2 linked regions of the Lonchura striata genome follow. The main gene of each other region encodes a partner of the protein of the gene in region 2 in a complex. Links are inferred from orthologs where the notes say so. Each region holds a gene or a part of one and is shown on either strand. Other genes may lie near its edges. The genes, in order: CNOT8 and CNOT2.

What was found.
Region 1: CNOT2 (region 2) and CNOT8 share a complex: the UniProt entries of both Homo sapiens proteins name them as parts of the CCR4-NOT complex. The link is inferred for Lonchura striata from reciprocal best matches to the Homo sapiens genes CNOT2 and CNOT8.

The regions. Positions count from the first base shown.
Region 1 is NC_134617.1:5,120,374-5,128,532, forward strand, and holds the start of CNOT8 (CCR4-NOT transcription complex subunit 8), read right to left. Parts: upstream 3,401-8,159; 5' UTR 3,314-3,400; intron 2,039-3,313; 5' UTR 1,956-2,038; coding exon 1,839-1,955; intron 596-1,838; coding exon 402-595; intron 1-401. UniProt on the Homo sapiens protein: Has 3'-5' poly(A) exoribonuclease activity for synthetic poly(A) RNA substrate. Its function seems to be partially redundant with that of CNOT7.
Region 2 is NC_134607.1:44,842,333-44,850,712, reverse strand, and holds the start of CNOT2 (CCR4-NOT transcription complex subunit 2), read right to left. Parts: upstream 3,235-8,380; 5' UTR 3,105-3,234; intron 2,554-3,104; exon of another isoform or gene 2,500-2,553; intron 1-2,499. UniProt on the Homo sapiens protein: Component of the CCR4-NOT complex which is one of the major cellular mRNA deadenylases and is linked to various cellular processes including bulk mRNA degradation, miRNA-mediated repression, translational repression during translational initiation and general transcription regulation.

The sequences.
Region 1 (8,159 bases), on a different chromosome or scaffold from region 2:
TGTTTTTAGATCCCAGCTTATACTTAAGCATGGATCTGTAAAGACGTCTTTTTCTTTTTGATGAGACTAGCACATCCATTTATTTTTAGCAGAAAGAGATGGAGTTTTACATAGATATATATATAAATGAAGTTTCAAACATTGTTCCAGGAAAAAAAGGCACACAAAATTATTAAGAGAAAAGATAATGAGGATAGAATTTTAGCATGGCTTTGACTTCCAGATACACTGTTAACTCCTGGCACTCCAAACTAGGTTCCCACACAGTCTGTACTAGAATCTGAATCCTTATTGCTCAGAAGCAGCCAGCAGTGATGAGCACATGGACACTGGTATTTGCCAAAGGAAAGCATCACTCCAGCAGAAAGAACAGGAAATTAATGCCAAGCCCAAAGACTCACGTGAGGTTGAATTTGAAGTTGAACTGCCAGGTGTTAATGCCAGAAGGGTATTCCCCCTTCTCATTTGTGAAAGTCAGGCCCAGCTGGATGATTTTCAGCAGGTCAACGTTACAGCGAAGGAGCTGGTACTGATAATCTATGGAGCTGCGGAATTCACCGATTGGCCTGACAACGACTCCAGGGAACTCCGTGTCCTGGCAGAGAAGGGAAAACTGAGTTTCACCATGGATTCTGTCAGCAGTCATTATTACCACTCTGTGAGGGCAGCCCAGACAGTGAAAACCTTCACAGCTTCTGAGGAACAGTCAATGCCCACATTAACAAAAACTGCTGTCAGTCAAACACACCTCAACAACAGCAGCCACCTATCAGATAAAAACCATCTGTTAGGTGAAAAACCTCTTACCCAGCCAGTGACTGTGTGCAGTCTGTGCTGAACACCAAACTGCCGCTGTTCCTACCCTCAGACTGGGTCACTGAGCTTCTGCTGACTACACACAAAATCTTTCACAATGAAGCCAGTGCTGTGCACCTGACATAATCTCTCCCTTGCCCAAGAAGTTTATCTGTCTACTCATACAGCACAGTCACTCAAACAAACCCTAAGAACACCTCCAGTGAGACTGAAAAGAAGCAAAAAGTTCATTTCCCATTGACAAATGTTAACAAAAAAATCATACTCACTTCCACAGCTGAATTTGACACCAAAATCCCCCACACTCTGCAAAGGCACCTGTCTTTTGCCACATTTTAATGAGGACTTTTCAGATTTTGAGGTTCAGTGCTCCTAAGCAAAGCTGGCAGAACTTACAGTACCACAGCTAAAACCAGTTCTTTATCTAACACACTGGGGTGCTGCCAAGCAGATACAGACTTGTAAGAGCAGGAGGAGATTCCTCCCACCTAGGGGAGATTATGCTCTTCTTAAATAAAGCTTTCTGAACATATTGTCTTATCTACAGCCAGAATATTTTTCTTCCCTAAGAATCAACATCTGCCTTCATTTGAAAGGAGGCAGCCCAGCTGCTAGCAGTGACTTGCAAGCCTTTTGACCACCACTCCCATAGCATCATCTATAATCAAATGAAGAAAAACATTCAAAGGACAAACACACTGGTGGAAAAATAAGGATTTAAACCCAATTGTTACTTGTTTAATTTTCCTGCTGCACAAATGAATACACTCTGAATAGCTAAATATTAAATAAATTCACGTTTTTAAGTTAGTCTCCTTCTTCCCCTTCTTTCAATCAACCCATACTCATCACCGCTTGTATTAAATTCTGAAAAGCTACCAAACAGCTTTTTATTTTTTCACCTCTTTTAGTTCAAATTTTCAGGGGGTAGGAAGAAACATTTCTCACTCAAGAATCAACTTAGTCCACAACCCCAAAAAATCCCTTGACTAAGGCAATTAGGTCAAGTATAAAACATTTACCATGGCAATGTAGCTGTAACTCAGAACAATCTCCCGAATTTTCCTCATCTCTTCCTCCAGGTTGTTGGCCCATACTTCACAGATAACCTGGCTGTTTTCTGCAAGGGCTGCTGGCATCTTGCAGGGACCAGAAAAAAGGCAGCTGATGCTGAACTCAAATGACAGTGCAGGATCACAAGCTGTGCAATCTTATCAGTGTGCTGCATTAAAGAGATAAATAAATAATGCTTTAAGTGAAGGAAGAATAACATGTGAATAAATGAGCTGTAGGAGTCAGTCACACTACCATTTTCACCTTCAAACAACCTGTTTAAAGTTTACACCAAGTTTTCCTGCTTTATCACTTTCTGTGAACATGCTGAATGAAATCAAGAGCATTTGTTCACAATATAAAAGTAGATGCACAATCAACAGTCCAGTAGAATCATTACTCCTATCTTCCTTTTCCTGGCATAAGCTTTGACACTTAGGGCACAAGACGTACAGGCAGGGAATCCTCATCTGTAACTCTCAACCCTCACTCCAGGGATATTTCTCCATCCCTGGAAGTGTTCAGGGCCAGGCTGGATGGAGCTCTGAGCACCCTGGTCTAGTGGAAGGTGTCCCTGCCCACAGCTGGGGGGAGGAATGAGATGATCTTGAAGGTCCTCTCCAATCCAAACCCCACTGTGATTCTATGATGAAGACAATTGTTTAAACACAGTAACAGAATGCATTAGAGAGAATACTCATTGGATGGAGTTTCAAGGGGTAGAAATATCTAAAGGGGGTGCTAAGAAGATGGAGCCGGGCTCATCTTCGTGATGCCAAGCGACAGAACAAGAGTCAATGGGCAGCAAGTCATGCACAGAAGTTTCCTCTGAACATGAGGAAGAATATGAGCAAAAACTGTGCAGGGACCGGGCACGGGAACAGCTTGCCCAGAGAGGTTTTGGAGGCTGCCTCAATGGAGATTTTCCAGAATGGCCTGGACACAATCCTGTACCACATACTCTGGGATGACCACACTTGAGCAGGGAGGTTGAACCAGGTAACCCACTGCGGTCCCTCCCAACCCATTCTGGGCTTCTTCCCCCTGGGCTGTGACTCGGGGCACACTGCGGCGGGCTGTTCCGGCTGGAACCACCGGCAGCGCCAGCAGCGCCCCAGCTCGGGCGAGCCACCGGCTGGTGCCGCTTTCCCGTAATAAAAACCCCGGCGAACCGCCGCCAGGCGTCTGCGAGCGGCCTGCGCCAGCGCAGGGACGAGCGCACCGCCGCGGCGCGGCCCGGGTCGCCTCAGGGCCCCTCACAGCCCGCGGGCGGCCGGACGCGGCTCAGCGCGGCCGGCAAGCGGGAGGGCCGCCGCCCGCCGAAGCCCAGCGCCAGGCGCGGCCCCGCAGCCGCGGTGGCGGTGCCGGTGGCGGTGCCGGTGGCAGTGCCGGTGGCAGTGCCGGTGCCGGTGGCAGTGCCGGTGCCCGCCCCGCTCCCCGGTACCTCCCGGCAGCCGCGGCCGGGACGCGCCGCTCCCGCCCCGCGCCGGCTCCGAGTGCCCCGCCGCGAGGGGCGGCGCTTCCGCCGCTCGCGCCGCTTTGCCTCTCGCGAGACGTGGCGGAGCGCGCGACGGGGCGGGTACATCTGCCCAGCCCACACCGGCTGGTGCTTCCCCCCCCTCCCCCCGCTCCCGCAGTGGGCTCGCCCGGGCTCCCCGCGCTGAGAATGGCGGGCGAGTCCAAACTCCGCGGGCGGAGGGGGGAGGGATGAAGGAGCTGGGTGTCTCCGCTCCCTGAGGGAGGCGTCGCCATAACGCCCGCCGGGGCTGCGGTGGGCTTCCAGCATGGGGAGCCCCCGGCACCCCGATCCCTTGGGACAGGGGCTGCGCCGGGCCCCGGCTGAGCGTCCCCGAAAGAAGCAGCGGCCGCCCCTCCCTGAGCAAGGGGAGGTGAGGGGGTCCCGGTCGGGGTGAGGCCCGAGCCCCCCCGGGCTCCCAGGCCGCGGGCGCGCAGGGTGGGAGCGGGATGAGGGTTTGTGTTCCAAGGGGATTTCCTGAAGCTGCTGGCCTGGCACGCGTTGCTCCTACGGTGTAGTGCGTATTAAGCTTATTAATGGAGCAAGTTCTGCTTCTTCCTGCAGGGGCTTAGAAGTCATTTAAGTCCCTACTACTACACCTGCAGACTTATAGGCTTCTGTTCCAGGAGTGGAATTTACATTACGTTAGCAACAGAAGGTTGTAGCTGGTAAAGCAGATACTGGTTGTGTAACACGGCTTTGCTGGCTGATGCTGATGGTACATAGGCAATTCATTTGGAAGCTCGTCTACTAATTAAACTTAGATCGTATTTCCTTTATTTTAGACTGCCGTCCTTCTGGACGGGGTTGCATCTTTTGTAAAATATATATTAAAATATAAATAAAATATATAATCAATAAATTATATACCTAGATTATAGATATAGCTGTATATCTAGATAATATATAGATATATATAACCTATATATCTAGATATATAGATTATATATCTATATATATATAGATTATAATCTGCATCTATAAAATATCTCTAAAATATGTGCCTCTATAAATATATATGTTCTGGTACTGGATTGTCTGCCCACCATATGGGAGTCTTTCCCTGAATCTCGGCTACTTGCCCAGCATTTTGATCAAAGTATCTGGAAAAGCAGATATTGGTATCTTTCACACATCAGACACCATTCAATGTCTCAGGTTTTATGTTCATGCCTCAGCAGAAATGTTGCCGTTAGAAAAGAAGAGGGTTTTTCAAGAGTTGCTGTGTTGAGTGACCTTGCTGCTGTCAGCATCTTGGTACATTCCCTTTATTGCGCATTATTTTGATTCAGAGTTTTATCTTCAGGGATGATAGAAAGTTACTGTTTTGCCTTATCTCTGCAGTCTCTGGTGTTGTGCAATTTATGCAACATGCAATATGCTACACTGCCAGAAAGTAACCACCTTTCTTCCTGTGGTCATTTGAGTCTGGGGTTTTGTACAAGGAAATCTGTGTTGTTAGCAGGTAAATTCAGCAGGCTGGATTACAGCACCCTGTAAATATAAGATGAAATTTTTATTTCCCAGAAGAGTTCAGAGACATTTTTCTTGCTCGTAAACCTGGTGCTTGAAGGGATGTTGAATCGAGGGGAAAAGGGAGGATGCATCTCCTCAGGCCACTGTAAATATCTGTGCCTTGGTACTGTAATAAAAAATGTTGCAGGCAATAATCACCTGTGATAAATTACATTTGTAGTGTGTAAAAATTTGTCTGTAAAACAAAGCTGTTCAGAGATGTTTGCAAGCACTGGAGACACAGTTTGCTCGAAGAAATCAGAATTTTTTTCAAACATGACATGGCTAATAAAGATTCAGAATAGCTGGAAGAGGCACCCTGCTCTTTAAAAAGTCCCATCATTTCTGTATTTGGAGGTTACCAAGGTTGCTTCCAGCTCCAGCACTCCAAAGCAAGTCTTGAAGAGTCCTCACATCTACATACGAGTGTAGAGCTGCATTATAAGGTGGAATAAAGGTCTTTAGCTCAATGTTTTCACACTGGGCAGCTGGAGCTGCATGTCCTGTTGTGCCTTTTCTTTAGAGCTTACTCACAGCACCACAAGAAACCTTCCTTGTGGGAACCCTGAAAGGTGAATTTATGTTTTCCTCAGCCTTCTGTTGTTCCACAAGTGCTCCCAAAGCACTGCAGTGCTAGGTGGTGGCACACGTGCCCTGGCAGAGGGTGAGAGATCTGGTTCAGAATGCAGGGAATTAGGCAGTGGGTGATGTGTGCCAAGTTCAGATTCCTCTTCAGCCTTTTGAGGAACTATCAGTATGGGCTTGTCCAGTCCCCTGAAAGATACTTCATAGATTTCCCCCTGATGTTCCTCTCAAACAGTGAAACAACCAGTGCTTATTACAAAAACTCTGGGGAGTGAACAAAGTTGTGTTAGGAAGTGTCTGATCAAAAAGCTTTTTTTGCTGAGAAGGAATCAGACTTCTTGCATGGCTCAGCAAAGATTGCAGCAGCATTGGAGTGTCTGTGGCAGAGACACCAGCGCAGGGCAGCCAGCAGGCAGAAGCAGCAGTTTGATCAGTGACAACCTGTGCTAGACACACAATTGCAGCAGAAGTTCAATGGCACTTACAACCCTATGACTAATGTGCTGAGTTGTCCCTATGGGTATGAATATTTCAGAGATCACCCATGCTGGAATTGAGCAGTGGTTCACAAGGAACACTGAGGTCTGAAATTCACTATTGGCTGTTGGTTGAACAGCCCTCCCCCTGCAAGCTCACATCCAAAGATCAGTGAGGACGTTATCCTTATGGCACCCCTCTCTTGAGATGCTCATTTCCACTTCCTCCTCTTCGTGAGTAAATAGTTTGAAGGAATCACATTCCTCTCTGTTGAGCCTGCTCTGTGTGATAAATACCAATTAGTAGCAACAGCTAAGAACTACAGTTTCTGTCCCTACCAGGGAATAGTTGGAACTAGGCAAGAAAAAGTGATGATGGAAGCAGTAACAGTGTTAAACACTGTTCACTCTTGCAGAGCTCTCTGCAGTTCCAGCTCTGCTGGAACTAGGTGTTACTGAGAAAAAGCATGTGTTGCTTCACCTGAGAAGGGCAAACAAGGATAACTGGGAGGCAGAGGTAGTATTCCCTGTTTTTCCTCCTGTGAAAAATAGATCTGGAGAGTTATGATAGTAACACGCTCAGTTCTCAGAGCTTAGTTTGCAATAGGGCACTATTTATGGGCTGAGTAACAGATTGGGGCCACATTTGCATAAGAAAGATCGATGCCGCTGTAAATTACATCTTGCTCTCTGCAATACCATAATTACACACTTTATGGTCTGTAAACAACATGCTTAAAGACAACTGAGCCCAAGTACATGCTAACCTATGTGTGTCTTCATCTTAGCCATGCAAGCAAAGCCTGTTACTGGTTGAGGGCACTGTGTAGCAACAGAGTTGGAGTAATTTTTAGATTTAGTACAACAGGATTAAATCTGGACTGCTGGGTTTTTGCCAAATTCCACAGTAACCCTTACTGATTTTAACAAATACCTTTGACCCATTCAGTTGCACTGGCAGTAGCTATTTTGTGCTCCAGCCATGAGTTGGTGAATTATAAAAACTACTTACTTTTAGGGGTGTTGGTGGATTTTTTGTTCTCAGGTACAACGATGAAAAACTTACCTGCAGAATCAGTGTATTCCACGTGCTTAACTGAGTAACAGCATGCACATAGACATGGGGAACAGTGCCAGCACTAACAGTGACATGGCACTGGCTTCACATGACTTGTCTGGGAGGGGACAGGCAGCTCCTGCTTGGAAACACACCCCTATTGCCCTTGCCTAAACCCTCATAAAGTTTCGACAGGAGATGTGAAAAGTGAGGAGCTGAACTCTGCTCTGAACAGACAAAAAGGACCTCTCCTAGGCTACCATCAGGCAGGTGGTGAGAAAGAACAGGCAGCCAGAGTTCAAGGGTGCTTGAAAAGATATGATAGAGACTTTGAGGAAGTCATTAAAAGGCAGTGTCATGTCTGTGTGAAGTCCATTGTCAGCTTTTCTAGGAACAGGGGTTCCCCTAAAACTGTGCAGTGCTTGGTAGGACATCAAACACCACTTCTGGTCCTGTGTCTCTCTACACAGAAATGCGGCTGTTCAGGTGACCAGGTAAGTGGTCCTGTGTTTTTTGTTCTGTATGTTCTGTACTTCTGTGGATAGTCACAGCCTTTGTTCTCCCAGGAACAATTTTCCACTGTCTGTGCCATATAAAGGTTGATTTCAGTGAAGTAAGACCTACACCAGAGACTTCAGGAGGAAGGCACAGGGAATCCCAGGGAGCTGGGGTGGGCAGCCAGTCCATCACCTCAGATGGAGCTGTTCTGAGCTGTGTCTGCCGTGCACAGAAGGACGCAGTGCAGTGGGTGCAGTACAGGGAAGGGGCACCTGTGCTGCCTCAGCTTGAGGCTTTCTGGGCACCAGAAGGAAAACAGAACTGCAGGCATGGGGCATAAATAATAATTTACATGTAAACAAAAAAAAAGTAACAAATACAGCAGGGTTTTTTTCAGATTCTACTCAGATTGTATTGAGCATTATACTATGTATTATATTGAGCATTTTAAAACATGACTTAGACAAGCTAGCTTTTTTACAGTACCAAAAGTGAAAAATTCAGTGAAAACAAGATCTATGACTTAATGAACAGTTTTTGGGCAAATTAAGTTACACATGGAAATAATAATATTAAAAAATGTATTACAATTCTTGATTGACTAGTGTATGTTTCCCCTTTAATGTCAAAAGACTGATTAGAA
Region 2 (8,380 bases):
ATAACTGAGTAATAAATTTAAAGCAAATATATTAGCAGATTTCTGCTGTATAGCAGAATGCTCACATATATTTACTTATTTATGTCTCAAAAGCTCAGATAAAGCAAAGTTAACCTAACTTCAGCTTCTATGCTTTTGTCAATCCTTGAAATTTACATACCTTCTGTATTAATAACAATTTAAAATAAGAAAAAGTGTATCATGTACAGAGCAATCACTTAAATCTGTCATAAAAATTTTGATTTGACTTCCTAAGGTACTGTACTTCCATAGAAACTGGTAAAAGGCTTTCTATTTAAGCTAACATTTATAAAGACACACAACAAATGTGGCAAATACTCTGCCAAGAATTTAAAAATTTTCCTTTTTGATAACGCATTTTTAAGGTGCCTTTTATTCAAGCAAATTATAGCTTTAAGGGAAGACATAATTTTAAAAGTTAGATACAGGGGTCTACTTCCATTAGAATAAAATTCTGTACTTGGTGCACTTTATATACTACCTCAAAGGAAAACAAGCAATTCAATGTTTATTTTTAGTTTCCAGATAAAGTCAGAAAGCCAGGTGATAGAAACCTCTGTTTTAATTGAAATACGGTGTGTTTTTAAGTTCTATTATCTTCTTGAGTTCATAAAAGGATGGAGGTGGAAGATATTTTTGAATAAACAAAGTTATGATACAAGGCCCCTTTAAAACCATAATGAGGTTACTACTTAGCAATTACTACACAACAGCCCTTCCATCAACATGAATATTAGGATAATTTTTAAGAAAGCTACAACAGAGGCTAAAACAGCAATAATGTTCCTGATTTCAAAGCTAATCTCTATCCAGACAGAAATGCATTTAGAAATATTAAAAAATTAAACAGAAATACTTTCTGAGATCTAAAGGTCCACTGCAGGCACATAGAATTTTCATATGAAGCTACTAAGGTAAAGACCAAGATTTTCAGGTGGAAACAGCCACTTCTTAGCATCAAACAATTTTTTAGCATCAAACTTCAGAACACACCAAGTGTCCTATTTTTTTCCACTAAATGACAATTACTAGAACTGGATTCTGTTAAAGAAAATTCAAATCTGTTTTTTTGATATAAATTTCTGGGGTTTCTTTATTTTCAGTTTTTAGCCAAGGGCTTTTCTTTCATTTCTTGATAGAACTGACACACAAATAGATTGCAATAACAATGACTACCTTGACAGCAGTATTAAGTTTCTAGAAGAGATATGTAGACAAGGTTTATCTACTACTACACTCTTAGCTTTATCAACAGATTGCTGAAAATGAAACGGAAATACACTTGCAAGTCAAGTCAGTCAGCTCTTGATAAGTGAGTATTCAAATCCCTTTCTAAAATCAGAAGCAGTCAACACCTCGAAGTTTAGCATACCAACTGAATACACAACACAAAGAACAGTGGAATTGGGGGGCAAAAAGAAGAGGGAAAAAAAGGCATGGGACAGATACATCATGTTCAAGTTCACAAAACTTGATCCTGTGAGCTATGTTCCATTAATGTGTCAGTATAAGGTAACTTAAAGTACATCAGCACATACACAACAATTCTTCCAGATCCAAAGGAAGATGCCTTTGCAATATAAACTTCTAAAATTACTTTGCTCTTGCAGGTCTTCACAAGTCTGAAACAAATCCAAGTTTTCCAAAAGATAAAGTTTTCCAATAACAGGCATGACAGCAGGTTTGATCATCTTAATCTATCCTTCCCCAGCTGAAGAGTTAAGACTAGCAGCCAGTCACCAACACCAGATGTTGCTGCTTGTGCAGGCACATAGGAGTGTCTCCTCCACGCACTCAAGTCACATAAACACATATATGTTTATGAAAGATACACAGAAAGTTCTTATCCTCCCCTGGGGATAAAACACTGCAAAGTTGGGAACAACTTTTTCCCTGATAAAAGAGACAGCAGAAATTAAACATGCTTGTGTTAGATTTGAATAAGCAGCAGAAGCAAATACCACCTTACACAAACATATTTTCATTTTCCCACATTACAGAGCCTCCAAAACAAAGTTACTTGTAACTTCACCAAAAAAACCCCATCCTAAAACCAAGAACACCCATTAGTTGGTCCTTGTTTTCACCAGAAGCATACATACACTAACTAGACTGCTAACACTGACACTTGCATCTTTTCCCACCGCCCTACTGTCCCCCTCTTATCCCTAACCTGTCACCCTGTGCCACCTCCTCTCCCAGCACGGGTCAGGCTCACGCCAGAGCTTGTCATCGCCGCCCAGGCGGGCAGGGGAAGGCTGGTTCCTTCCTCCGGCGCCCGCGCTCTGTCCCTTTCAAGTTTGTTTTACAAACACGTCCGAGGGAAAGCCAGAACCTGTTTACACACAGCCTTAACCTGCACCAGGAGGAGAGTGAAACAGACGCAGGAGAAAAAAAAAAAAAAAAAAAGTAAAAAAAAAAAAAAGAAAATAAAATAATTTTTCAACCGAAAGCCAGCCAGCAACACCCCCATCTCACCGCCTTTCTCCGCCCGGGGCCCGCGGCGCAGGCCGCACGGCCGCTCGGCGGAGCGCGGGGCCAGCGCGGCCCCGGCCGTGGGCGGCAGGTTCCGCTGCCCCGGCGCCGGGCCCGGGGAAGGCGGCGGGCGGGGGCCGGGCGGCCGCGCAGCCCCGCGGGGCCGGGCTCGGAGGGACGGAGGAGGCCTGGGACCAGCCGGCGGGGCGGCGGCGGGAAGAAGCCGGTCGGGCGGGCCGAGTGGGCCGCAGGGCGAGCTGCCAACGGCGGCCGCGGGGATGCGGGGCCCAAACACAGCCGGGCCGCGGGCTCGCCCGTCCCCGCAGCGGCGCCCGGGGGTCCCGCCGCCCGCGGCCGCGGAGGAGGGCGGGGGGCGGCGGGCCGGGCCGGGCCTGCGGCTGCGCCCCCGGCTCGGGCGCCGCGCGTCCCCCCCGCTCCCCCTCGGAGACAAAAGCAAACGGAAACACGGCGGGGCGGCCCCAGGTCCACCGAGCCTCGCCGAGGGCCGCGCCGCCGCCCGGGCCTCCCACATCGGGCCGCGGCCGGGACGGCGGCGAGGCCCGTGTCGGCGGCGGGGCCGGGGAAGGGGCGGCCGGGGCCGGACTCACCGCATGAATTTTCTTGTCCCGCGAATCCAAGATGGCTGAGTATCCAGCACGGAGGATGCTGGGGGAGCAACCTTTACCCTCTGACCCGGCCGCCGCCGTGACCCCGCCGCCGCTCGTCCCGGCCGCCGGCGCCGAGGGGCGGGGGCAGCGCCGCTGCACCGCCCGCAACGGCTCGGCCCTGCGGAGGGGCTGGGGGGGACGGGAGGAAGGGGAGGAGGAAGAGCAGCGAGGCTCCCTCGGCTGCGCTCCCTCCGCCTCCCGCGGGAGACGCGGCCCAGCGCTGGGGGCAGGGCCCGCAGGCCGCGGGGCTGCCGGATGCCGCCGGTGCCCGCCGGCCCCGCCGAGACGCTGCTGGCCGGGGACGCGCCCGGCCCAGATCCCGTTCTCTGAGGGGAGAGGGCGCCGGCCTGGCGTGCCGGGCCAGATCGGGGCGTGGGGGTCAGCAGGGTCGGGGCGCAGCGGGGCTCTCCGGTCCTCCCCTCGCTGTGCTCCCCGGGGCTGCCGGGGCCTCTGGAGACCTACCCCGGGTGGACGCGCTCCCTTGGCGAGCGCCCCGGCTTCCAGAGAGGGTGTCCCATCCTCCACGGCCCTGCTCTGTCAACTCCCTTTGGGTTGCAGAGCGCAGAAGGAGCGGCCTGGCCTCTCCGCAGGCTGTGCATCATCCTGTGGAGGTTCTAGGTCAGGAACGACCCGACGATGGGGTAAATTGTGTCAAAGTTCCCATTTTCTCTGGAGTGTGATAGCAGTAGAGAGACAGGTCCAGCTATTAACTTTGTGTGTTAATAAAGAGGAAAAGCATTTACAAGATGACCTAAGTGGACTTTTAATTTATCGACCCACAAAATGTGTGTTATAGCAGTGGCTTCAGTACAGCCAGTGCTGATGCACAAAACACTCATGCAAATAATCCCCTTGAATTTAATGAGACTGTCAATGGTAAAAAAGCTAAGCCTTTGCACAAGTGTTCACAGGATAATGGCCAACATCATTTGTGAGCTGGGTGCTCTGCTCCATCAAAAAAAACCAAACCAAAACAAAACAAAACAAAACAAAACAATGGCACTGACACCTTAGTTTGTAAAATCATCATAAAGTTTAAAATTTCAAGCAAAGATATGAGCAGCAATAGCAGGTTTCTTTCAATAGTTTCACACGTGTGCTTTCTTCTCAGGTTTGATTTTGAACCTTCAGATTGAATTTAGAATTACTGAAGAACTCATTAGGTTACACAACACTAATATTTTATAGAAAAAGGTACTACAGTAACATGTCTATCAACATAAATACATTTTGAAGATAAAAGAGCAGCCTTCCTTTTAAGCCAGGAGACCAGTTTCTTTTTGCCACCAGCTTTAGTTGTGTGATGAGAATGGCTGCCATGTCATTGAAATGGATGTGTATATACACCATCCAGGAAGGCACTGCATTTTATTATTCCAATCACAAACCTTTGTGACAAATTCATGCATTTGCTAGAATCAAACCATTAGAAAGTACCAAAAGTGACATGCTGTTTATAGTATGAACTTCTGGACCACTTTTGTTGTTCAGTCTGAAAAATCAAAAATTTCCTCTTACCACAAATCAAATACAAAAGCAGTACTTTTATACTGAAAAATACAATCAGTGTTATTAACCTTCAGTGTTATTAGTGTTTATATAGTCTGATTCTTTTATATCTGATTATAAACATCTTGCTTCATTATATTTCATTTCACACTTCTTCACTGGTCTGACTTTCTTTTTTAAAAGCTAATTTTCCTTCAATTTTCCCAAAGAGAAGTCATTAAGACAATACCAAACAATATGCTGTAAGTAAACTAAGAACCTGATATTGTCATTGCATGTACATGGGCTGATCTCTCTGTTCATTGCAAAGTAACACTTTACATACAAATCAATTAGCATTTATAGGACAAGAAGCTTGACTAGCTCAACAGAGCTAGTAATGGGGAAAAAAGTGTGTTATCTTGTGTTAGACTGGTTAGTTTAGTATAAACAACCCAACCTGCACTCACAATATGTGTAAATTGTGATTAAAATTCTGTTAACTGAAAAAAATCTAACCTGTCCTTCTGCTTAACTCTGTGTTTAGTTGAGGAAGTTCATTACTCAAGCTGTAGTAGCTGTGTATTCTACTTCCTCTTTTGTTTTCTTAAAGAAAGTGAAAGCATTTAGTGTTTTGATGTGTTAAAATAACGTCCAAGGCTACCAGTAAAGAAGGTGTATTGTCAAGTATGTGCTCATACCTTTGCTGCTTTTAGTCTTGACTCAATACATTTTGTTACAAAGGTGAGGTCTGTTTCCCATAGTTGCATCTGCTTAATTAAAGAAGTGCCCTGAACGCAACTAACACGAGGACTGATAATTTGTGTGGACAGTCCTAATCCATTTTGAACCATGTATGGTAGAGTTTTACCTCATTCTTTAGGTCTTTGTCTACAAACTGATATGCATCTGTTATTTTTATTCTCATTTAATCAATGGTCTCTTACTATTTACTTATTCCACAGACTAGGTTGATACACATCCATCTTCAATCAGTGTAAGAATGCCTGTAGGAGTCAATCTGAAAACTTTTGTCTATAGCAGCACAGGTGAAGGAACTACAAAGCATGATTACAGAAACCTGTCCTGCATGTGATCATGTGTGCAGGCCCCTGCAGTCAACAATCCATGTGTTGCCATTGACACAGCCTTCTACCTAATGTTCTTGAAAGCTGGGCCCTGAAAGCATGTGTTCTGAAGCACTCCCAACACTTGCCTACCATCCGTTTGGACTTCACTGGCTAATGCTTCTGCTAGTACCTACAGAAGGCTAAAAACCAACAGCACTTGGCTGGAAAGTTTGGGAAGAGGTCATCAAAAGAGTCAGGTGTGCTTTGAATCCCCAAATGCTTAGCTCCAGAGAGTTCATCAACACTCCGTGACTCAAAGTATCACCAACAGATGTGGGCAATGCAGGTGCAGAAGTGGGAGAAATTACCCAGAGTATGTGTAGGGCAGGGTTAGGCTGTTCCACTTCACCAAAACGTGAAATTAAATTAGTCATAGTAAGACGACCATCCTCACTTAAGAGTGGAGGCAGAACATGGTGAATTAGCAACCCTATAAGCAATTTTTAAATAGAACAAAAATGTTAATTGAAATGCAGTTTTTCTCCCACCTATGTATTGTCACCAGAGTTTTCAGGAAAAACAAATACAGTGCAATCACCTGGAGCAAGAGTTGGCAGCTTTTCAGCAGTGGTGAAACAAGGTTGTATTTTTCTTTCCCAGATTATGGATTAAGTCCCTTGGAAGAAACAGCTTGAATTGCAAAGTGCATTTGATCAGCTAAAACAGTGAAATACTGCTTCAGGAGAAGACAGAGGTTTCTGTTTTCTGCAGCTTCTCCCTAATCTATTTCTTACTTAATGATGTTCAAAAGTGCCTCCATTGCTTTATTTGGAAGGTTGTAGGGTTACAGCACTGCACTGCATTAATCTGTGGCCTAGAAGAACGTGGCAGATTTTTTTCATTAGTACAGCCTATTTGATTTTTCAAATATTTCTATAACAGGAGGATAAAGGTATGTCAAAATGTACACCAAATCTAATATTAGAGATTATCTATTAATTAATCTATTATTAGAGATTAGAGAGGTGTTGACAACACTTTTTTTTTCCCAAGAACAAAAGCACTGAGACCTCACATTTTCTTAGTGTATTTACTTGTAGTTCTTAACTATTACACTGAAATTGAGCACAAAATATTTAGATTTGTGCAGATTTGGTTAGATAGTTTGACTTTTGCAAGTTAGTCTCCAGTTGCTAGTGCATTTAAGAAAGGTAGGGGAAGGATCAGCTGTTTCCATGGCACTGTCCTTATCTATCCTTTCACTCCTACAGGGGATTTCCAGGGATGGCTGCTGGCAAGGGAAGCCCTAGAAGTGCAGCTCAATTACTATTTTAGCGTTAAAATGCATCACAAGGTATCCACACAGATGGCTTCTCATCTGCTGGATTTGTAGTTTCCAGGAGGGAATATTGGGAGCAGAAGTATCTTTATCTCAGTCTTTCATATTTTTACTACCAGGAAACCCTTTCTCAGCCTTCTGCTCTAGTGCCTTCAGTGTCTGATTTAGTGCTAATTATAACAGAGTATCAGGGGGAAAAAATACCAAATTTAAAAAGAAGTCTGACAATTCTGGAAAGTAATATGACCCCAAAGAGGAGATAAAATGTAGCATTTTCCCAAAATAAGATGCTTCACATTGCTGTATAGCAACTAAGAAGTCTACCAGCGTGCTAGTAAATGAGAGGATAAATCAAGAATTAGAGATAGCAGTTTCAAGTGTTTGTTTAGACAAAGAGAAGAATAATGATGCAGATGGAAATATGTTTTCTGGGGGAGAGAAGCATTAGAGATACAAGCCAGTGCCCGAGTAGGTGCTGACTGACATTCCTGAACAACATTATCCCCAAAGAGATGGAAGTTATGGCAGTGGGGAAAGAGAAACCCTTTTTATGTTAGTTCTCAAGATTGCAGTCAGCTGATGGTCATTGGGGAGCAGCCTGGTCAGAAGTGCTATTTCTCTTTTGAAACAATTGAATCATGGAATCATAGATTTGCTTAAGTTGGAAAAGACCTTTAAGATCAGAAAGTCTAATTGTTAGCCCAGTACTTCCAGGTTCATCACTAACCTCTGCCCCCAAGTTCATCACTAATCTGTGTCCCCAAGTGCCACCTTCTCACATTCTTTGAACACATTCTTCTCACTGGGACTTCCAATGGACTAGATTACCTTACAGTTAGCTTGGCCTTTCCAGTTCAAGTGTTCCCTTGGGAGAAAGACAATATGACAAATCACAGTTATATTCAAACATGGAATATCACGAGCAAGAATTTTATTCATTTTAGTATTGTTAGAATGGCAAAAGATTTTGTGAGAAATAGTTGTGGTTGCCATATCCTTGTTAGCAATCTGTAGTAACACCCAGATAAATTACTAGCCAAAGGCTGATGAGTATGTTTTTGGTTTTTTGTGGGTTTTTTGTGTACAAATATGAGATAATCTGAGATCTATTCAGTGGACCAGATATACTTTGGCCCTGTGCTATAATCCCCATTCAGCCTGCAGTGGTTTTTTATTGAGGACATTTATGGATATTTCACATGCTCAACCAGTAAAAGGATACTTGGTACTCTGAGACCTGAAACCAATTGAGGTTTGGTCAGAAAATAAATCTGACTTCATCATTCCCAATATTGTTTCTCAAAGACAGTGGCCTTTCT